Rhinolophus ferrumequinum: one gene and its partner. The protein of the gene in region 1 purifies or fractionates together with the protein of each later gene. This does not show direct contact. Links are inferred from orthologs where the notes say so. Each region holds a gene or a part of one and is shown on either strand. Other genes may lie near its edges. The genes, in order: EMC1 and TMED2.

What was found.
Region 2: the proteins of EMC1 (region 1) and TMED2 purify together in Homo sapiens (affinity purification with mass spectrometry; 3 studies listed by BioGRID and IntAct, with this or other methods). This does not show direct contact. The link is inferred for Rhinolophus ferrumequinum from reciprocal best matches to the Homo sapiens genes EMC1 and TMED2.

Annotation. Positions count from the first base shown.
Region 1 is NC_046292.1:12,939,022-12,950,903, reverse strand, and holds the start of EMC1 (ER membrane protein complex subunit 1), read left to right. Parts: upstream 1-6,471; 5' UTR 6,472-6,575; coding exon 6,576-6,670; intron 6,671-9,371; coding exon 9,372-9,496; intron 9,497-10,157; coding exon 10,158-10,223; intron 10,224-10,447; coding exon 10,448-10,541; intron 10,542-11,644; coding exon 11,645-11,773; intron 11,774-11,882. Other genes in the region: MRTO4 (mRNA turnover protein 4 homolog), read right to left, coding at 1,020-1,169, 1,289-1,365, 1,763-1,914, 2,165-2,232, 2,534-2,615, 3,336-3,439, 4,265-4,323, 6,231-6,258. UniProt on the Homo sapiens protein: Part of the endoplasmic reticulum membrane protein complex (EMC) that enables the energy-independent insertion into endoplasmic reticulum membranes of newly synthesized membrane proteins.
Region 2 is NC_046308.1:4,329,692-4,341,799, reverse strand, and holds the start of TMED2 (transmembrane emp24 domain-containing protein 2), read left to right. Parts: upstream 1-6,972; 5' UTR 6,973-7,106; coding exon 7,107-7,286; intron 7,287-8,743; coding exon 8,744-8,936; intron 8,937-9,340; coding exon 9,341-9,361; intron 9,362-11,411; coding exon 11,412-11,519; intron 11,520-12,108. UniProt on the Homo sapiens protein: Involved in vesicular protein trafficking. Mainly functions in the early secretory pathway but also in post-Golgi membranes.

The DNA of each region.
Region 1 (11,882 bases):
TGGTATTAGGTGACACAAAATAATTGTTCTTTAGGGTGATAATGGCATTGGAAGTATGTGAGAAATTGTCTCGTTATCATTACGCAAGCACACTGAAGTATGCAGGGACCACTAGTGTCTCCAATACAATGTGGAATATAAGTGGTGAGAGCCAACCTCACTGCTGGTTCCCCGTCGGAGGAGGAAAGCCTTTTCATTACCAAATATTAGCTGTATGTTTTTTTGTATATGCCTTTTGTCAGTTTGAGGAAATTCCCTTCTGTTTGCTGAGAGTTCTTTGTTTCTTCTTCACAAATGATTATTAAATCTTGTTAAATGGTTTTCTCACAGCTATTGGGATGACCATATAGGTTTTATTTTCTGGCCTGTTAGTATAGTCGATTCTATTGACTGATTTTCAAATATAAAGCCACCCAGTATTCCGGGTACGCAACCCACTGAGTCATGATGTATGATCCTTTTTATATACGACTGTATTTGATTTGCTAAAGGATTTTTGTGTCTCGGTTCACTGGTGTGGTTTTTGCTGAGTCCTATCGTATATTTAATATCATAAAAACTCAGTGATCTTTTTTTAGAAGGTTAAAAATGAGACTAAGTCTTGTATTTATCCATGTTTACCATTTCCAGCCTGCTTCCTTTTTTGTGTGTGCACTGAGGGCCAGGGCACAGAAGCCCTGGTGGCTGCTCCTTCCCTTCCCTAGAGCTGCATGGCCATGGACACGCAGGAACCAGTGCTGGAAGCTGGCTCCTCAGGTGAACAAAGGGCACCGTAGGGATCCAATCAAAAGCCCAAATCCAAAGCCCTTTTTTCTGAAAAAGTCCCTTTGCCATCACAGGGAAACACCCTGCAGACAAAGTTTTATTCTTTACAGAAGAGTCTATGCCTTTCGCCCCCCACCTGTCTTCATCCACAGCAAAATACACAGCTGGTCCCCCAAGAGGGGCGGAGGCAGTCCCGTGTGTTCCAGTCAAGACAAGGCCTGGAATGGGCTGGGAGGCCCAGTCCGAAGTGCCCGTCAGTCATCGTCTTGTTCCTCCGATTCTTCTTCTGACTGGGGGGCGCTTTCTGGCAAGTCATCTCCCATCTGCTGGAACCTTCCAGACTGTGCATCCCACATGTATTTGATGGTCACCTTGAATTCAGCCATCTCATATCCAAAAAGCTTCTGCAAGAGAGGCCAAGGAACCAAGAGTAAGGAGGAGCGAGTATGATCAGGAGTCTCTGCGGTAACCCCCTCCACACACACCCCAACAGCCTGCAGATGGCTGGGCGGGCCGGACTCACCAGGACGCGGGCCTGCTCTGGCGTCAGCACGTCGCCCTCCTTGCACACCTCGTAGTCGGACAGCAGGGTCACCACACCTGCAGAGAGGGGGGCCACCACACAGTTACCTCTGGCACAACTTTCTGTCTGCTGCCCAGAGCTGGGAGGGATCTGTTTGGCCACCTGTCCGCCCCACCAGTCCAATACACGCTGGGGCAGGCATTCAGCAACAGCAGTCAGCTGCCTGCGACGGTGTTCGGGGTACAGTGACCACCTCCCTCTGTCCCTGAAGTGCTGTATTCTGGCTGTAAGGTACTGTCCACATTCACCGCAGTGATCAGGCGGGCACTCTCAGCCCCCCTTTCTCATGAGAAAATGGAGGCCGGCAGACGTAACCTGCTCAGCCAGAAAGGGGAGAGGGGCCCTGCCGGGCTTGGGAGCCTGTGCTCTTGGCCGCTAAGCTGTGACCTTGCAGCTCCAGGGACTTCCCCGTACCTCTCTTGAGGGCAGTGGGCAGGCCCAGCTGCCTCAGCTGGGGCTCCATGGAGTGGGGGAACTGCTCCAGAGGCCCTGGGTCCAGGCTCACGGTGAAAGTTGCTTTGTTTCCAGCGCGGGCGTAGTCCATTTCTGTGTATTTCGTGAACCACCTTAGGGGAAAGAGAAGTGGTAGGAGGGGAGATTCCTGACTGGGCCACACACAGCCCCCTGAAGCGAGGCTCCCCTTGGGCCTTCCCTCCCTTTCCAGCAATCTCAGCTGCTAGCTGCAGCCAGCCTGGAGCGCAGTACTGGAGAGAACTCAGTACCAGGGTTCTAGGAACAGCTTCTTCCTTGATGCCTCCACTGTACAAAGTCCCCAGCGTCCTCACCAACCTCTAGACACCCCTCAGAAACACTCACTCGTTCACTTCCTCCTTAGTGCGATTGGTGAAAAGGAGACCGACCTCACCCCTCAACTTCTTGCTGACCTAAAGAACAAACACGGGGTTGGTCTGGTCACATCAGAGCAGTGACTTTCAAATGGGGACAGTTTTGCCCCCTTACCCCCCAGCATTTGGCAACATCTAGAGACACTTGGTTGTCACAGCTGGGTGTGTGCCCACCTGCACACTACTCTCTGGGTCAGGAGGTTAAAGGGGAACCGGAGCTTTAAGCCAGGCGGGCTCTCCTGATCCCCAGGCGGGCCAGATGGCTGGAGTGTGTGTCATGTGAGAGCAGCAGGCGGGCAGGCGGCTTGGCCTTGCCCCTCCAGGAGAGGGCCAGACTCACCTGATGCAGGTTGTCTTTGTACTCGTCAGATGGGCTTCGACCCAGGGCCACCATCATCACTTTGTTTTTGCCAAAGAACATCCTACAGAGAAGAGGGGTCCGTGAAAGAAGTGCCCCGTCCAGCCTTGCCTCCCATTAAGTGGAGCCGAGTCAGGCCCAGGCTGTTTTGTGGCTGGAGGCATGGCAGAGGCTCCCTCTTCTTCCACAAAGCTCTGCCCCCTCTGTCTCCAGCCCAAGGTCCCTTTCACTGTTTTCCTGCCCAGAGACCCTGACATTCACAATGTCTTGTCTAACACCACGATTGTTATGTGCTAATCTGCCTGCCCCCCCTGAATGTACGGAAGAGGCCCGTTTCATGGTCTGAACCTGAGCTGGCTCAGCAAGAGACGACCAGAGCCACTCGTATTGTCATAGTTCCAACTGAGGACAGGTACTCGCCACACGGCTTGGGCAACCTGCTCTCGGGTCAGCGCTGCATCATGGAGCACATAATGACATCCTAAAACAGCACATAATGACATTCTAGAACTGATGCGATGTTCCTAAACGGACCCCAGGGGAAAGGGAGCCCCTTCTCTTGGAGGGGTCACTGCTCAAACATTCCCTGAGCACCTACCAAGTCCTGCTCCACAGGGAGGGAGCACAGTGCGAAGAGCAGCTAGCTGTAACAGGTAAAAAGTACCTTCGGCTTGGGAGTGGCACTTTGTCCGTATTAACCTGCCATCTGTGACCCAGGTACCCCAGGGGCAATGGCTGCCACGTGCCCGACTGAGAACAGCCTCGCCCTTCCCTGCCTGCTCACCGGCTGTGCTTCCAGGCGTTCCGGATGTCCTTCAACTTGGTATTCCTCATGTTGGCCACGGAGAAGATGAAGAGGTACTTGTACGTGTCCACACATTTTCGAAGCTGTGGAACAAGTCGCGGGGCTCTGGAGTTCAAGGGGCACCAGGATTGGGCAATACTCTGGCCTCCGATGGGAAAGGATAGCTCCGGGTAACTTATAACTGTGGAAGGTTAGAGCTGGAGGCCTCTAAGATAGGGTCCCCACGTACAGGGGCTCCCCTGGGGCAAAGCAGGGGTGATCCCAAAGTGCAGGGGAAGCTGAGCCACGGGTTAGGATCCCATGGTTTCTGACTGACCTGTGGCCTGTTCTCTGCACTGTCTGTTAGTTATTGATAACCCAGAAACTCTTAGCTACACTAGGAAGGCACCTTCTAAATGAAACAACCGAATCCTCATTATTTACTCACATGGGCACACAGTTCAGTGGTCCTACTCTGCCCACACTGCTGGCCACAGCCATGATGAGGTGGCCTCAAGGAAACAATCGTTATGCAGGAGGAGACTCCCTTTTATCCAGCCTGCAGCCCCGAAGCAGTGCAAACAGTGGGTTGGCGCATTTACCCACGTCTGCTAACTCCCAGACTTCTTACATTGGGCAGGCTAACAAATCCTTGTAAGCTTCAGTTACCCAACTGCAAAACAGGGCTAATGTCACCTCCTGTGTGAGGATGGAGTGCAATGATACGTATGGCACGCAGCACAGTGCAGGGCACAGAGGAAGGGCTCCGCCCAAGCTGGGAAGCATCACTGTGGGAGTCGTACTGGTGCTGCCACTGGAGGACAAAGGGCCGCTCAGCAGGTTTTTTTTTTTAAACAGGATGTTTCCCTAACATACAGTCCTACGCACACCTTTATAAACCAAACACAAATTCTGGAAACAGCCCTTACCTCTCCTATCAGGTTCTGTTTCAGTTCCAAGCCTTTCTTGGCAGTTTTGGTTAAGGAAACTAATACAAAGAAGAAAAAGGAGAGATGATGAGAGACAAATCTGGATGTCCTGGAGACTCATTTTCTTCTTGCCGTTTGGTAGTTCGGCTGGACCAAGCCCGTCTGAGGAGAGGCAGCCAGACTATCCCCAGGGTCCGCAGAGCGCCGACTTTCTGATGTTTCTGAGCCTGCAGATCCTTTGATATATTTCCTGTTACTCAGACAAGCAGGGTGTTCCTCTGAACCTTCTTGGTTTAGCTTAAACATCTGCACTGAGGTGTGGAGGTGGGGCTTGTACCTGCTAGAGGGAATGCTTTCAGTGGTAGAGCTAGTCTGCTGGCTGAGGCACGTCTCTTTCCGCTCTTGGCCGTGGTGCACAGAGACCATCTATGGATGGCTTCTGCTGTGGAATGATGAGCCTGGGGACTGTCTCTTTTCTGCTACATCCTGTTTTGCAGATTGGACTCAAGGATGCAGCAATGCCACTTTGGAGAGGGACAAGCACCTCTACTATAACAAAAGCTAGGGCCTAATTTGCCTCTTATCCGGAAGGGTTTGGATTTGCCAGATCTCATCAGGGCTCCCTCTATAGAACCCACGAACACTTAACAGCATCAAATGCAAAACCCAGGGTGCCTCCAGGAAACGGCCACCTCTTAGTCATCCGGCCTGGCGTTTAGTCCCTCCTCAAAAGGCACATATACAGAAAGGTAATCACACCAGTCAGAGGCAAGTGCAGGACAGGAGGGCAAACAAGAGTTGTCCATTTCCTATCACTTCCGCTGCTACATCTGTGAGCCAAGCCTCTGTGAGCCAAGCATCACCCCTGTGTTGGATTACTGCTCTTGATGATTCCATCCTTGCTTCCACTTTACCCAGTCCATTCTCAATATGGCAACTAGGGTGACATTTTAAAAGTAAAGTCAAACCACATCATCGTACTGCTCAAGCTCTCAGATGCCTACCCATTTCACTGGGATGTGAAAGCCAATTCCTTGCAAAGGTCCTAAAAGTCCTGCCCACCCTGCAACCCCCCAACTCTGCTTCTGCCACACTAGCCTCTTGTCCCAGAACATATCAAACATGCCCCCACTTCAGCCCCTTTGCACTTTGTGTTCCCTCTCCTTGGAACACCATTCTCCAGATAACTCCATAGGTTGCTCACTTCCTTTCCTCAGGTGTCTGCTCATTTGCCACTTCATCAAAGACCTATGGTCATGTACATCACCTCACTTTTACTCTATGGGATTCATCACTATTTGACTTTAGTCATTCAATTTTTGGTGTTTCGGTGGGATATACTTCCCATGACTAAAGTGTTAAGCTCGATGAAGACTCTAAGCCTTCCTTGTTGTAACTGCTGTATCCTTCTACTCCTAGAGAGTGCCAGGCACCTAAATATTTGTGGAGTGACTATACTAAACAGCCGGGGTGAGAGAGACGCCACCATAGTAAAGAATACTCTCTTAGGAGGTGCTCTATAAACTGACAACTCAGTCAGCAAAATGAAAATGGGAGCATAAGCATGCCAGGTAGGCAGGGAATGCAAGTAAAAAGAGCCAGGCACGGGAATAAGCTTGTGCTAGAGAAAGGGAAAGGCGACCAGGGTGGCGAGAGCGCAGAGTGCTAAGGGAAATGGGCTAAGGTGAGAAAGATGGGCCAAGGCGAGATCGGGCGCAGTCTGGGTGCTCGGAAGCTGTTTCCCGGCCCAGTAGGCCTTGGAAGAGCAGTCGAAGCTGGGAAAAACAGTCTCGGCTCCCTTAACACGACCAGGCTCCAGCTCCCTCTGCCCAGCGTGCTCCCGCCGCTAGCTACCAGAGCAAGCCCGCGGAGCTCCCCACGGAGGTCCCGGCGTCCCATTCTGTGCCCCACACCCCCATCGCAGCCGGTGGGGTCCTAACCGGGTCCCAACGGGCCCTTCACCCACCTTTCTTGTCGCGCTTGGATTTGGGCATCTCGCTGCAACCACGTGCGGCGGAAGGCGGTGTCGTCGGTTAGGACCCCGGCGGCGCGGGGGCCTCTGGGATGGCCCTCGAGAGCTGCCCTCGTGCGTGCCTGACCCAATTTGCGGTGCGGCCCGCTTCTCCCCGCCTGGCTTCCACCTGCGCTCTTCCTCACGTTTTCAGGTGGACTCTCAGCACGTTCGGAAGCCTCCAACTCCTGGGCGCCCCACCGAGGGTTTGTATGTGGCCCGAACTCTGTGGTTCCGCGGAGGCGGAGCCTGCGGCGCGGTGCATGCCGGGTCGTCAGCGGGCGGGCCCGGGCTCCTGTCATGGCGGCGACGGCGGCTTCCCGAGTCTGGCTTTGGGCTGCATTGCTTATTCCTGCGGCAGCGGTGTACGAAGACCAAGTCGGCAAGTTTGATTGGTGAGTACGTGCGGCACCTCTTCGGGAAATACGTGGCTATTTTCCCAGTACCTGTCTTCTGCCTGCTAAAGGGCGGGCGGTTACCATGCAGCAGGACCGTCTAGGCTACAAAACTTACAGGGCTCAGTGCAAAAACAAAATGTGGGACCCTTGTTCAAAAGCTGAAAGTTTTTAGATGGGGACAGCAGAGCATTAAACCAAACGTCGGTGGCCCTTCTAAGACGCAGCGTGCGACTGTACAGGTCATAAGCCCCTGAAGCTGGCCTTGACATTCAGGCCGGCTTGGGGTTCTGGTCAGAGATCTCTGTTCCCTCCTCCCCCGTCAGGCCCCATTTTAGTGACTGTCAGGTTTCTGATCTGCATGTGAGAGGTCGACAGCCCTCGGCGAACTCTCATTCCTCCTCGAATTGGCATCTCTTCTCTTGGGCATGTGTACGAGTCTCGGGTGCTATTATGAGTGCTAAACTAAGTCCTGTTTCTCCTCCCTTCCAGCCCCGGCTCTGGGTTCAGAACAGGGGCTCACAAGTCTCACATCACCCAGGGGGTGCCATTCATGGAGGTGCCATTCACTTAGTCACTCACTTCCTCACCTGCCATCCCACACCTTCCTTAAGGCCTTGCTTTTGTTTGAATCTGAATTTTGCTACTAAAGAGTTGTGTAATTTTGGGAAAGTGACTTAACCACTCTGCCATGGTTTCTTTTTCTGTAAAATGATTTGCTAATACTGGTCCATTATCTCTTACAGTTGTTGTAAGGATGAGTGAGATAATTCCCTTAAATTAACACCATGCCTGGCTCATTGAGTGCAATCAGTCCAGTACTCATTATGATTACTACTCAGGGAATATTTTAACATTCAGAGCCCAGCTGAGATATCTCCTCCTCTTTGAAGCCTATTTTGTATCAGGCAAATTACCGTGTTTCCCCCAAAATAAGACCTAGCTGGACAATCCCCTCCAATGTGTCTTTTGGAGCAAAAATTAATATAAGACCCGGTATTATATTACATTATACCTGGTATTATGTTATATATTATATTATGTAAGATCCGGTATTACATTGTATTATGTTATGTTATATTACATATTATATAAGACCGGATCTTATGTTAACTTTTGCTCCAAAAGACGCATTAGAGCTGATTGTCCGCCTAGATCTTATTTTCAGGGAAACACGGTAATTCACTTATTTGTTGAGTGTCTGTCGTGGGTCATTGGTTGTTCTAGGTGCTGGGGGTACAAGGAGCTCATGGGGCAGATATACAGTACGTCCTCACTTAATGTCATCAGTAGGTTCTGCGACTTTAAACAAAAAGACAGACATCCAAACCAATTTTACCGTAGGCTAATTGATATAAACAAGAGTTAAGTCCCTAGGGAAAATCATTATAATGAAATAATGTTATTCAAGGACCTGCTGTTTAAGTGTGTGATATAAGATGGTACGACAAATGCAACATAAGTCATATTTTTAATGATGTAGGGAAAGGCCTACAATATAATATGTATGTATTGCACATATACAGCATATTTGGTATGATTCCAATTAACAGAATACTAGATATATGAAATTTACAAATTGAAAAATACAAAGAAATACACCAAAACATTAAAAAGTTTATGGTGGTGGTATTTTAGGCATTTTTGATTTTTTTAATACTTTTACGCATAAGCAGGCATTAGTTTTATAGTCCAGAGGAAAGTTAGTTATCTTAAAAGAGCATGGGATTTAGAGTCAAAAGGTCTTACTTTCACATTCTAGTTCTGACAGTAATTCGTTGACTTCAGTGGACTATTTACAGGTTAATTACCTGTAAAATGAGAGTAATAATATTTGTCCAGCATATGTCATAGAGTGTTCAGTGGATGCAGTAAGAATAAAGTATGTGGAAATACAGGTAGAAACTGTCAAATGTCATATAAGCCTATCTTTCTACTACCAGCTCAATTTCTTCTTTAAAAAAAAAATTAGACCAAACAACATCATGACAAATGAAGTTCCGTGTAAATATCGTGCGTTTAATTTGCTAGAGAATGCAGTACTTCATTAACAGCAATGTGGGAGCACCTCCTATGTACTCGGTAGTTGGCCATACGAAGCTAATTATCTTCTTTTTATGCTTAGAGTGTTGAAAGTGATAAGATATACTCCAAAGAAAGCATGAGCAATAGGTCACATGGATCCTGAACATGGAAAAGGCTGTAGAGAACAAAGGCCTGACCCAATCTATGGATTTTTATTAGAAAATTTGCATAATTTTTTCTCCAGAGGTCCGTGAAAATAGAAGGGAAAGTTGGATTGTATGCTTATGGACAACAGGATTTATGTCTCTTCCCTCATGTGGACTATGAGCACCTAGCCCCCCTATTAATGCAGAGAGGACTGTAACGTTGTAGTGGGATTTAGACCAGGTGCTCTTCTGGGTATCACTTTTCTTGAGATAAATATGTGCTTGCATTTCGAAGGAAGACTGTTGCATTTCTCATCTGTTAGGTTATTCTCTCTTCTTGTTCCCTTTGCTTCTGACTACATTGCATAGATCTTTTGCTTTTGGTCAGATCTCATTAGCAAACATTTCTCCTACTACCCAAGGTAGGTATGATGACGATAACCTCATATATTTGTGCAGTGTCTTTTTTCAAAGCATTTTGTGCAGTGATGCTTTTGGCCCCTTACGTTTCCCTGTTCTCTTTTCTTTAGGAGACAGCAGTATGTTGGGAAGCTCAAGTTTGCTTCCTTGGAATTTTCCCCTGGATCCAAGAAGTTGGTTGTGGCCACAGAGAAGAATGTGATTGCAGCATTAAATTCTCGGACTGGGGAGATCTGTGAGTGAATTGTGTAGACTAGTTACCTCGGCATGGAATGGCTGACCATAGTGAAGCCAGAATGGCTTGTGTGGCTTGTCAAGTCTGCCCGGCTGGTTCCCCAGTTAGGGAAGTCAGCCAAAAGATGCGATCTCTTACTGGGTTCTGACCTTTTTTTTAGTCTCGTCATTTAATCCTGTAACTGGCCTTTGTAGTTTAGTCCCTCAGCCCAAGTTCTGCGTGTTCTTAAATAAGATACTGCTGCAAAACACATGTGATTCTATTTTGCACAAAAGGTTTGGATGCCTCCTCTCCTCCCCCATTACTTCACTACTTTTATAGATATTTTTTAGGCACTAAAATCATGGATAGGTAATTTATAATCACTGTTTTTCCTGTGAATCACAGTGGATTTGTTAATTTCGTCACTGTTCGTTTATGTGTTTGATGGGGATTAGAAGTGCAGAGACCCCAGACTGGGACAGTAGCAGCTCCTCTCAACCCTTCCTCCCCTCATTACCCAGCGAGTGGGAGTGGATCATTACGTTATTTGGAACCCTTCCTTCCCTTGAAATACAACTGGACACTGCTGTGCGAACAAAGCCTTCTTCAGTTCTCTCCTGCCCATCTTCTTGGATGCCTCCTCTTCAGTTCATAGTAACGTCTGCCTCTTGTCTCTCAGTGTGGCGCCATGTCGACAAGGGCACGGCAGAAGGGGCTGTGGATGCCATGTTACTGTACGGACAGGGTAAGCAGTCCTGCTTTGTCCCTATCATGTGTCGGCTCCCTCTCCCCGTTCCTTGGTTCCTTCCTTCTGCAGGGTCTGGTAGGGAATGGAGAAGGAAAGAACAGGAGTGCAAATAGCTCATACTTGCACTCATACAGCAGAGGTGAGGCCACTGCTCACAGGCCCTAGGAGGCTGCAGAGCACCAGTTGGGGAGTTGACGTCACCATGGTCTTGTCTCTTCCAGATGCAATCACTGTGTCCAACGGAGGCCGGATCATGCGTTCCTGGGAGACTAATATCGGGGGCCTGAACTGGGAGATTACCTTGGACAGTGGCAGGTAGAGGGGAAGACGCTGTGTTTTATCTTGATGACCTTGGACAGTGGCAGGTAGAGGGGAAGATGCTGTGTTTTATCTTGGCTTGGTTCAAGGCTTTGCTGGAACATAGACCTTCATGGGCAGCAACTTTGGGCCTTTTGGCTTTTTTCCCAGGGACCACCACAGAGCCAAAGAGCCTCAAACACCCAGTTTTTGATGTTCTTGAGGTAATGGAACACACGTGTTTACTGAGCCAGCATTTATTGAGCATTTATTAGATGCAGACCTCTCAGCTAGACGCAGTGTTTGTACTTGACTATTTTTCCTAATCTTACCGTGACTGGAGAGCTTTGCAATGTTCTAGATGTAAGAACATAATATAAAACTTTCAGTGTTTTTTTAAAAAAATGTTTTTTTTCAGTGACAGTTCACATTCAGTATTACTTTGTATTAGCTTCAGATGTACAGTATCGTGGTTAGACAGTTATATAATTTATGCAGTGATTCCCCCCATTTAGTTTAGTACCCCCTGGCACTATATATAGATAGTTGTTGCAACATTATTGACTACATTCTCTATGCTGCACTTTACATCCCGTGAAACTGTCAGTGTTTTAATTTTACGTTTAGAGAACAGCTTGAGCTACTGTTACATCTGTTGGAGTTATTTGATAGTGTCCTTTGCATTAGCTTATAGACCTGCTGTGCAGTCAGGAAACACTTGGGGAGTCCCCAGGCAGTGGGAACACATTTAAATAGGAGACAGTTTTTGTCAAGGAACTCGTCGTCAGTCGAGGGAGGCAGGCGTGTAGTCTAGTAATGACAGTACTGTCTGAAGGGTTGCCATGGTAGAGCATTGGCCTGGTTGCTATGAAGTCCTGGGGGAAGGAGGGAACAACCTTAGGATATTCAGGGGGTTCAGGGAAGCTGTCCTGCCCACTGGTTGAAAGTGTAGTCTTTCAAGTCAGCTAACCAGAGGCAGAGCCAGGCTTAGGATCCGGATGTATTTGACCCCCAAAGCCTGTTTTCTTACCTGCTAAGCTGCAGTGGGAGTGTTCCAGATTGTCTCCTCTAGCCTGAGGCTTTGGAGGCGTGTCAGTGCTCACCGCTGTACCTGTGCTCAGTTTCCAGGCACTTGGGCTGGTAGGCCTGCAGGAGTCAGTGAGGTACATTGCGGTCCTGAAGAAGACCACTCTTGCCCTCCATCACCTCTCCAGTGGGCACCTAAAGTGGGTGGAACATCTCCCAGAAAGGTAAGCTGCCTTCCACCAGGTGGTGGCTACCTGGTTCTGCTCTCTACAAGCCCCTTCTTTTTCTTTAAGATTGAAGCATTTGCTTTGGCCCAGGTTTGCCTTATGTTGT
Region 2 (12,108 bases), on another chromosome or scaffold:
AGTGGCGTTTAGTATATTCACAGATACACACAACCATGACCTCTGTCTAGTCCTAGAAAATCCATTTCGTTCCAAACAGAAACCCCATTAGCAGACGCTCCCCGTTTCCTCCTGACTCCCCACCACAGCCCGAGGTAAGCACTACTCTACTGCTCTCTGTCTCTATGGATTCTCCTGTTTTGGACATTTCATACAAATGGAAACGTACAATATACGGCCTTTTGGTGACTGGCTCCCTTCGCTGACCAGCATGTCTTCCAGGTTCGTCCATATTGTAGCAGCATGTGTCGGTTCCGCTTTCCTTTTTATGGCTGAGTAATATCCCATTGTATGGACGGACCACATTTTGTTGATCCATTCATCCATCCATGTGGGACTTTTGGATTGTTTCTACTTTCCCTGTTGCTTTGCCTGTGATAAAAGCAGTACTTTCCTTCTGGAAGCTCAGATCACTTCGCAGGAACCTTTACCTCCTCAAAGAACTCCTTGTTTTGGGGAGATGAACCAGGCTCCAGAATAGAGTGAGATGGGAAAGCGAAAAGGAAGCTCACAGCCATTGAGTACCTTCTGTGTGCCAGGCAGGGTTCCGAGAGTGCAAAGATAAATTAGATCACAAGTCCCTGACCTCAAGGAGTGTGTAGTCCAGTGAGTAGAGAGATACATCTGTTGTTTTGCCTGCTAGGATCTATCCCATTTTTCTGATTTTCCTCAGATGAACCACCCCTCCCCTGCTTCCTTGTTCCAGGGTAGGAAACCCAGGCTTGACCAATCAGCACCACCCAACCTGTGGGCCTGGTGGTTGGCTCAGGAATGAGCACTGACCTCAGACAGTTCAATGAGAGTCCAGAACACTTTTCCTGGCCTCTTGAAAAAGGTAAGTTATCATTTTGGTTGGTAGTTTTTTCCATGAGTTGCTGAGAACATTGCCTGGAAGCCTTGTTAGTTTTGAAAGAGCCAGGCTGAATAAGAAGGCAAGCAGGGTCAAGGTGGGTCTGAGATCAGACCATATCCTGGGATGTCATTTGAGCAACTGGATCAAACTGTGCCTTATTTTTTTGCTACCTCAAAGCTTTGTAGCTGCATGAACCAATGAGCTTTAAGAATTAAAAAAAAAAAAGATTGTGGTGATGGTTGAATATAACGGAAACCATTGAATTGTACACTTTAAACGGTGAATTGTATGGTATATAAATGATATCTGAATATTAAAAAATGAAATAACAAGATAAAAACTATGATAGAACCACACACAGGGTTTTGTTTAAACCCAGAATAAGAGCAGCTGACTCAGTCTGCAGAGGTGGGGTAGGCAAGCAGCCACCCTGAGGAGATATTACCCATTTTACAGGTGAGGAAGGAAAGTCCCTGTCAGAAAGGAATTGAGTATGATCCCATACATGAGTGATGGGGCTAACAAAGTGATTAGTACTTTGTAGCCCATAACCTAGTCGTTGAAAACATAGGTTCTCCTTATGCACTGTCAAAATGTCTAATCCATGCCCCAATGAATTGACCTAAATTATTTTAAAGCATATATATCATTGAGCCTGCTTATCATGACCATCTCCAAACAAACATGGGGGAAGTCTCTGTAGTTCTAACGCCTTGCTTTGCATTTTCACAGTTTGTCAGAACTCTTCAATTCAAACTGGCTTAAGCAAAAAATTTACATGAACAAGAAATCCAGGAGGTGGACTTCAGGCACAGCTGGATTCAGGGGCTCAGCGATGTCATCTGACTTCTGTTGTTCCTTAACCCTCAGCTCCAGATTTGTACAATGTTAACATCATCTTCATGCAGGTTCTCTACACGGTGTGGCAAAGGTGGCCTCCAGGACCTCTAGGGTTACATCCTACTGGTTTAATAACCTCAGAAAAGTCAATGAATTTTCATGGCATATTATTGGCTCAGTTTGGGACACATGCCCATCCCTGGACCAATCATTGTGCTTAGGGAGATAGAAGTTGCTGATTGGTCAGGCTTAGAGCCAGTGGGTGGGGGCAGTTCACCTGAATGGCATGGGATAAGACAGGAGGGAGGGGAATCCTCAATGGACAAGCAGAGTGCTCTTGTAGAACAGAGAACACATGTTGAACAGAGGAAAAAAAATCCATATTTAGTTTGGGACCAGGAAGCTGGTAGTGCTTGTCCACACTGTAGAAATGTGGCCATCTAAAACCTTTCTCTTTTTAATACTTCAATTTCAACTTCATGATCTAGAATATCCTTTTCTTTGCACATCATTACCCAAATCCTTCTTTAAATATTATTCCTGCCTCTACACTAATATTCTCACCAGTGGATCCTACCATCAAGAATGACCCCCTTCCGTTCTCCTGTAGCTTTTTCTACTTGGATTGCCCTCTTCAGCCTGTAATTAATGACTTCCAGGTATTATTGTTTGCTGTGTACACGCAGAACCCATCACAGGGGCCTGGGGTCATGTGACCCAGTCTCACTCTCAGTAACAGCCTCACATTTACATTGTTCACATTTCATAGATGCTAATTTTGCATTTGATTTACAATTCAGGACAAGAGTTTGTATCAGTAAGAAAATAGAACTCACTCTAGGTGTTTCTAACAGAAACGTTTCCATGTAGGAAATTGGTTTTTAGTTACCTATTGCTGGGTAAAAAGTAACCTGAAAACTTAGTGGCTTACAACAACAATAATCATCATCTTTCATAGTTTCTGCAGGTCTGGAATTGAGGGGCAGCTTGGCTGAGCAGTTCCGATACAAGGTCTCTCATTAGCTTGAGGTCAAGAGCTGGGGCCATCTGAAGGCTTCACTGGGGCTGGAGGCGCCACTTCCAAGATGCCTGTCACCCGGCCGTGGGTGGGAGGCCTCAGTCTCTCTCCACGTGGGCCTTTTCCAGAGCTGCTTGCGTGTCCTCACGACATGACAGCCGGCCTCTCCCAGAGGAATCGATTCAAGAAGACAAGGTAGAAGCAACAATGCCTTTTATTACCCAGCTTCAGAGGTCACACACGGTCACATATGCCACCTTGTTGGAGACAGAAGTGAGTCACTAGGTCTTCCCCCCAGTGCAGGGGAGAGAAACTGGGCTCCACCTTTGGAAGCGAGGAGGGTCAAAACATTTGTGGATATATTCTGAAGCCATCACAACAGGTGATGATAGAGCTGAGGAGACAAACCAGGGATGAGGAGACAACCCACAAATGAACAACAGCAGACAGACTCCAACTCACTTAGGACTGGAGGAGCTAAGAGAGGAAGTGGGGTTACCAGAGCCTAGAAGCCAGACCACCCAGTGGAAGCTGGAACTTCAGAGGAGCTGGAGTCCTGAAGATTCAGCAAGATTCAGCCCGTAGCAGACGTGCTTCCCAAAGCAGAGAGGGAGACACAGGCCCTCGCTTCTCCCTTCCTCTACTTTCCAATCTCCTGTCAGTACCTGCAATTAGCTGAACCTACCAGGAAGCAGAGTACAAGGGGGCCAGTGATGCAGAGGAGAGCAGAGAGGGCTGGGATCCAATGCACAGAGGGCTAGAATGGCTGATTGGGTAAGGTGGTGATATTGTGGTTACATCTGTCTTGAATTCTGATTATTTTTATGTATTAATGTTGTTCTCAATAAAGTGACACTTTAAATCTGAAAATGAAAAAAAAAGAATGATGAAAGAAAATCCCCCAGGGTCCTTTAATTTTCCCGAATTTTAAAGAAGACTTTTGTGGGACCAGAAGGGAAGGGGAGCGTTAAAACCCAGATGGCAGAAAGCTGATCTAGCCTTTGTGTAGAAACAGCCTTTTGTTTTTGTCTTCAAAACTTGCCAGCATTTGAGAATGTACTGGTGTAACTGATACAAACACCTCATCAATTTCTAATCTGGTTGCCTAGTCCCTGCCACAACAAGCTGCTGATTCCAAGCAGAAATAAATTATTTTGTCCACTCTTGGTATATACCCAACAGCACTGAAAACACGTCCATACAAAAATATGTGCATGTATGTTTATAACAGCATTCTCCATAATAGCCAAAAAGTGGAAACAAACCAAGTGTCCATCAAAGGGTGAATGGATAAACAAAATGTGGCCTATCCATACACACAATGGAATATTATTCAGCCATCAAAAGGAATGAGATACTGATACATGCTACAATGTGGATGAACCCTGAAAACATGCTCAGTGAGAGAAGCTGGTCACATAAGGTCACATATTGTAGAATCCCAGTCAAAATCCACTGAGCCGGGAAGTAGATTAATGGTTACTAGGGGCAGGGGGGGTGGGGAATGAACGCTAATGTGTCTGCAGTGTGTCTTTTTGGGGATGATGAAATGCTTTGGAATTATTGTTGATGGCTGAACAATTTTGTGAATGTGCTAAAAACCAGTGAATAGTTTAAAAGGGTGAATTTTACGGTATGTGAATTATATCTCAATAAAGAAGGGAGGGAAGGAAGGAGGGTGGGTGCATTTGAGAGCTTCGTTCATCATTCATCAAATATATTTTTTATCATAAATTTTATTTTAACATAAGAGAAATTTCATACAAATTAAAAACGTCTGCTCATCCAAAAACCTACTCTGCCATCTTGACCACAACTCCCATCATATATTTTTTGAGTATCCACTATGTGCCAACTATTTGTTGTGTCAGAATATTCATGCACAGCATGGCACAGTAGCTCATGCCAATCTGTGCTGAGGACAGTAGACATGCACGCTTACTATGGGTGACCTGGCAAGTCTCAAGAGCATGTGGTTCTTTGAATTAATTTGTCTTCATCCTGAAATATGTTGAAAAGACACCTGATGAGTAATTATGACAACGATGTTAAAAAGAAAAACCTGTACAAAGAAGGAACTATACCGAGTGGTGATACTGATTATTTTATAGTACTGTGATTAGAGTTATTCTGTCTCTTTTCCAATTATTAGACAGTACAATTACTTTTATAGCATAAAAAATAAATTTACAGATGACTTCTGGCTGCATCTCTGGCTTGGCCACCACAGCGTTTCCAAAAATTGGAGTCAAACGTATTTAGGTACAGGGGCCCGCCCGGTGGATCAGGCGGTTGGAGCTTCGTGCTCCTAACTCCGATGGCTGCCAGTTCGATTCCCACATGGGCCTGTGGGCTTTCAACCACAGGTTGCCGGTTCGACTCCTCGACTCCCGCAGGGGATGGTGGGCTGTGCCCCCTACAACTGGGGTAGAGGGAACAACTTGACTTGGAAAATGTCCTGGAAGTGCACACTGTTCCCCAATAAAGTCCTGTTCCCCTTCCCCAATAAAATCTTTAAAAAACCCCACGTATTTAGGTACAGCATCTGATACAGTTTTCCACAGTCCTCCCCACTCCCTATTGCCTTAAGCTGGTGCCATCTCTCATTCACATAAACTTCCCGATTGCTGAAGGCATTTGAATTTGGGTCCCCTGATTTATAAAATACAACCCTCACAATATACAATTCATTGTCAGCATTTAAAATCCCCGATCTGTGGAGTTAGAATATTATTTAATTAGTTCAAAAATAAAAAAAGAACACTTAATTTCTAGATAAAACCAGAATTGTTCTTGGCAATTTTCTACAGAGTTGGGTTGCTTGGTAAGTCCAACAGTCCCGTCCATCAGTTTAATAGGATACCTCTGTAGGTATTTTAAGCAGAAAGAGATTTAATGTAGGGAAACAGGCATATAAATAGGTTGGCGAGGCTGGTAGAGTGGTAGAGCAGGCTCTAGGCTGACCCTCCCTCCAATGATGGCTCCCAGATTATTCTACAGGCGAAGCAGGGCCATTGCCACAGCCGGGAAGGTGGAGAATCAGGGGATCATTGCTAGAACTTGTTCAATAACCAGGAAGCTTCCCTCACTGTAGCTGCACCTGTTTCTTGACACCTGAAGTAGGAAACGGATATTGGGCCACTACTGCCCCCTATTGCCTGATGATGTCCTTAAGAAACGTGCGCAGCACATTCACAAGCATGAGTCATCTGATCCTCATGACTTTGGCAGATAAGGAAAGCATATGGTGTTCACCCCCTTTGTACAGATAAGAGGTGATGTAACATAATTAAGGTCACACAGCTCCGTGCAAAACTAGAGTAACGACTAGGTGTCCTCATCCCCTGGCCAGTTCACTGAACTAGCTAAGATGTCATGAGGGAGGTCTTCTGTGGCCCTGGAAGGGCCTGAGAGCACAGCATGCATATACCCGGTGCCTCCGGAGGGATGCAGACTGGTAAACGACTATACCTCAGCAGGCACAGGTCTGCGCCCTAAGCACACAGCGGGGGGCTGGTATTTGGCAGAAGGAATGTTCAGGCACATTTCGGAGGAGACGACGACATTTGAATTGACTTTTGAGGAATGAGTAGGAGAATGTTAGGAGACAAAGGGCAGGGGGAAAATTGTCCTAGCAGCTGGCAAGAGCTAAGGGGAAATGGTGTGGCAGCAAGATTTGGGGGAACTGAGAGAATTCTAATTTTGGAAGGATTTGGACAAGGATTTTTTTAACAGTAAAATAAAGTGCATTAGTCTTAAATATACATCTTCTTGATTACAAAAATATGTAAACCCTCGTGTACCCTTCATTTAGGTGGAGGTATAAAATACTTCAACATCTCAGTTGGTTCCCTCGTGTCCCCTCCCACTCTGGACGTACGCGCCTCCCTCCTTCCCCCGTCGATTTTTGAGGGGTGAGGAGAGGCCAACACAGCCCCCATCTCCCCGTCCGTCCACTCGTGTTGTTGCCTCCGAATCTCTCGCCATGTTTTTGAACAATCTAAGAGGGTACTGCAGTCGGGCAGGGGAGGTTTCTCGATGCTGTCGCTTTCTCGTGAACTTTAGGATGCGCGCGAAAGGGGATGGAGGTGGGGACGACGTTTTCTGGTCCTTCGGAGCCACCGTCCAGGCCCTGGCCGCGCGGAGCCGCCTTGTCCCTCGGCGGCCGCCGTGCGCCCGTTACGTGGCAGCTGCCAGCGCCCGCCAATCCAGGGCGCACGCATCAGCCCCCTCGGGTGGCGCAGCCGGAACGGGCGGAGCTGAGTTGGCGGCGGCTGAGGCGGCAGCGGTGGTGGCGACGGCGACGGCGGCTCTGGAGGCCGCAGTCCCGATCCTGGCTTCGGCTCCAGCCCCACCATGGTGACGCTTGCTGAGCTGCTGGTGCTCCTGGCCGCCCTCCTGGCCACGGCATCGGGCTACTTCGTCAGCATCGACGCGCACGCCGAGGAGTGCTTCTTCGAGCGGGTCACCTCGGGCACCAAGATGGGCCTCATCTTCGAGGTGGCGGAGGGAGGCTTCCTGGACATCGACGTGGAGGTGCGGGCGCGCTGCCCGCGGCCGAGGCGGGGTCGCGCGTTCGCTCGGGGGTTGGCGGCGCCCGGGGCCCGCGAGGGGCCTGAGGAGGGCGCGGGACGTGGAGGCTGCTGTCCGAGCCCCGGAAGGGACCCAGGCTGTCGCCTGGCCCCCGCCGCGGCGACCCCCTCACGGCCGTTTCGCCCGCGGCCCGCCGGGTTCCAGGCCCCGGGCTCCCCCCGGGATACGGAGCGGTTGCTGAGTTGCTTGGGGTTGTCAGCTTGGGGTTCCCCTTGGGACCTCTCGCCGAGCTTTCTCGACCAAGCGCCGCGTGTCAGCTCCGGGCGGGGAAGGCGCATCTCGGGGCGGCTGGCTGGTGGCAGGACTCGATCGGGTCCGCAGCTGCATTCGTTCACGTAACGGATTAATGTTGGAACGTGGCAGGAAAAGTTTCGAGAAAGTACACCGAAAGTTACCGAGGAATGCTAGGCAGACGTTCGCGTGGTGTTTTTCTTTACTTTTCATAGAAACGACCAGAGTGTTTTAGTTTTTTACGCAAACCTCCGGATATATCGTTGAACCATCTCTGACGAAGAGAGGTGGAGTTGGGTCGTGCATTTTAGGAGTAATGACTGCAGTGGAGAAAACGGGGAATTATTTTAAGAAACCAGTAGTCCCTACATTTCATCCCATATCTTTTTTTAAACCAAAGGAATGAGTCACCTCTAACTTTTTTTTGGAAACCAGATATGATTAATATTTAAATTCATCTGTTAGCATGATTAATTGGGTTTAAGGACTTTTCTAGTTGATAGTGCACGTTAGCAGAGTTGGGCACGAATTACACAATCCATGTGAAGTTCAGAAGTAAGTGGGTAATGGAAGGAGTGACTGTTCAGATTAGCTAAGACCTTAGAGATCAACGATTCCAGTGTCCAGGGCTTTATAAGAGGAACTGACTTGAACAGAACCCAACAGCCGATCTGGAGCAGATTGCAATGAGAACACAGTCTCCTAATTTCCAGTCTAGTTCTTTTCCTTAAGCTTTCAGGCTTCTCAGATGAAGCGGATTCCTTCACTGGTTGGCCGTAATCAGGAAAACCTAGAAATGCCCCTTGCTCAAAATTCTTAGTTTTAAAGAGATTTTTTTATTTTGATGTTAGTGGATACATTGTTTGCATGTTTGTTGGAGGTGTTAGGACACTTGGAGACAATGTGTAAGGTGTGGTTTCTGTTTCTGGGGAATTTACATTTGAGTTGAACAAATGAGAGGAACTCTGTAGTCAGAGTTAAAAGGTGTTTGGAGAGCCTGGTCTCCTACGTGGGAGCCCAGAGAGGTTACTGTTACCAACTGCTGTGGAGCTCCCTGAAAATTACATTTTCTTAGCAAATATCCTACTGCCTGCCAATAGACATCACTTACGAAACCTATGATTTGAAATCTTCCGTGATAATCTCATGCATTTCCCTCCTGCCTCCAGATTACAGGGCCTGATAATAAAGGAATTTATAAAGGAGACCGGGAGTCCAGTGGGAAATACACATTTGCTGCTCACATGGATGGAACATACAAGTTTTGTTTTAGCAATAGGATGTCCACCATGACTCCAAAGATAGTGATGTTCACCATTGATATCGGTGAGGCGCCAAAAGGACAAGACATGGAAACAGAAGGTGAGATGAACATTCGGAAGATTTGTATCACGTCCCAGGAGTTAATTCTGTACATTTTCACCATCTGAATTGAGTATCTATGTGTGATTTCTTATTCTAGGTTCATTCACACTGTCTTTGAAATCAAAACCCTCTTGTGAAACATACTTTTGATTTATCCAAATCACCTAATTAACAAAAAGAAGTTTCTGGAAGTTCATGTTTATATTTTAGTTCTTTGCAGTTGCCCCTCCTGGCAACTTTGTGCTAGCATGTGGATTACATGTGTCTTAGGTGGTTTCCTCTGCTACTTTGCAAATCCTGGTATACACATCTTTATTTGCTCATTTGTATACATGACTAGTGTAGCTAAACTTTTTGTTGTTTTATTTTTGTGTGTGTTTGTATCTTAAACTTTTCTTTAGGTGGTGGAGATACCTGGGATGGTATGTGGATTGATTTTTGATGGCATCCTGTCTTTTTGCATATTTTTGTTTGCTGTTATCTAATTTCTGCTTTCCTTCTAACCTCAGTTTGTTAGCATGAGAGTGTTTTTTGTCTTAAACAAAAACAACCCTACAACTAATTAGAGTTTTAGAGTGATTGTTTTTGGTGGTTTTTATTTATTTGACAGGAGGTACAGGTCAGGTCATTTTAAATGAATAGAACTAGGAACACAGCCATTGATTTTTTAGTAGTACCATTGTCATATATATATATATATATATATATTTTCAATGAATGCTGAAGCGTGGAAAGAGTCAACCATAACTGGACAAGTAAAAGTCTTGATTAAACATAGCTAATAGCAAATGGTGCTGTTGACTTTGTAGGAAGTATGTTGTAGGCTTGTTTTAACCATATTAAAGTTTTCTAACTTGAAACTTGGTTGTATATGAAATGCATTTCTAGGAGCCATGTCTAGATATGGTGACAAAAGTTCTTTCAGCCATATGTTATAGTTAGATTACATTTTATTCCTCAGATGATCAGCGTTGAACTCTGAATTGACTCTTCTGGATAAACTGCTTACCAGGAGCCAGCACGTTTGGATTTTTTGGGGGCGGGGCTGGGGAATGAGGGTGTTGTCACAGGACATAGAGTATTAGGATTTTTGGAACGGAGCTGAACGGAGCTGCTCAGTATACTTCACGGCATTAACATGGTAATATTTGTCTTAGACATTGAGCAGTTAGTAGAGCGCTTACATCGTAAAGAAGATGAAGTGTTTGCTAGGTTTTGAAATCTATAGAATTTAGAGAATCATACTACTTAGTAATTCCTGTGCTGCTTTTCATGGTCATTTACAGTGTAGGAGTTGGCTAATTCTCAAGGAGAATTGGGAGTTTTGAAGGGCTTTGTGTTTGTTCATTTTCAGGAGATTAGTCCTTTCTAAGTAGTTAGAAAATGTTGGCTGATGAATGTGAATATTGAACTATTCTTAAATAATCCTTTAACACGATACCTGAAATTCTTGCTTTTGCTTGTTAATGTCATTGGATGGCAGCTGTCAAATCAAGCCTTCTTCTAAAGCAGTGGTTCGCTTCAGGATGATTTGGGGCATTTGGCAGTATCAGGAGACATTTTGATTCTCATGGCTTGGTGGGTGATCCTACAAAGCGTTGGATAGCTCCCCACAACAAAAGAATTATCTGGTCCAAAATGTTAACAGTGTGCCCCTGGAAACCCTGATTTAAAGGTTCCACGTAGTAGTACATGGTCCTTCCAAAGTGAAGCTCGTGAGGAAGGGTTGAGATTCCAGCCCAAATACCTTAAAATGGTAGGGGCCCTTGGCCTCTCACAAGAAATTGAGGATTATCTGTGGCAATTTGGACTTCTAGACGAGGCCCAATCCTGGACAGTGATAAAGCAACTCCTCCAATGGGAATCTTTCCTTGTGGTATATTTTTTCCTCCCTGTTTCTTCATTGTCACAATAAAGCACTACCCAGAAGCATACACTTACTTTTCAGAACTGTTCACCTTGTGTTCATTTTTGGCCAAGGAGAATACCGGTTTTAAACCTTGTGCAGCTGAGAGCTTGTCTTCACCTTAAGAGTAGGTTTTGATTTTAGTTTAAATATTGTTGTTTGTAGATTATTGTTAGGGTGTTATTGGGGATTTTGTTTGTTTGATACTTTGTGCTTTCTTTTTTCCACTCATTTTTTTTTCCTCTCTGATTAGCAGTCAGTATAGTAAACTTCACTTAGTAACAGTTCATTAGAAGAAATTTCTCAGGGATAACTATTTTCCTTCAGTTAGTAAAAATTGTACAGTATGTTTTCTATCCTGAAAGATGTTTCTCTGCTGTGAATGGACTTTAAAAACGTGCTTTGAGAATTAAATTGTCATCAGTTGTTCAAAATGATTTCTGTGCCATTTCTAAACATAGCTGCTTTTGTATGCCTTTTTTGAGCAATATTTTTATTACTTGATAAGTATTTTTCAAGAAGAGATTACCAAATATGTGCCACTGTGTTTTCAAACCCTTCTGTAGCTCACCAGAACAAGCTGGAAGAAATGATTAATGAGCTAGCAGTGGCGATGACAGCTGTAAAACACGAACAGGAATACATGGAAGTTCGCGAGAGAATACACAGAGCGAGTAAGTTAACGAGCCGGCTGGCCCTGTGGCCTTGTGTGTGGTGCCCCCCAGCTCACTTCCCCTCTCCTCGTTGGGAAGTTGCGCAGACATAAGCATACTAAATCATTGGCTTAAAAAAGCACCTGTGCAAAAATATTTTTAAGTATACATGTTTGTAGAGCTCTGTACTACACTAGTTTATTATTGGGACTCGTGTTCTAAACCAATAAGTGCTATGAAGATTCAGCACAAGGTTTTGAGAGTTTTTCAAAAGTATAGTCAGCTAAAGAATAAGCTAATTTCTTAAAGCGGAAAGGAAAAACATTGTAAAATGGGTATTGCATTGGTTTTTAACACATATTTAAAACTTTTGTGCCAGTATGATTACTAATATATGCTGAGATGTTGCTTATTTCCCCTAAAACTGAAGATTTAAAAAAAACTTTTTTTTTTTAGATTGGGCAATATTGGGGGACGGTGTGTTTCTCCAGAGCCCATCAGCTCTAAGTCATTGTCCTTTAATCTAGTTGTGGAGGGCGCAGCTCAGCTCCAAGTCCAGTCGCCGTTTTCAATCTTAGTTGCAGGAAGCACAGCCCACAAACCTATGTGG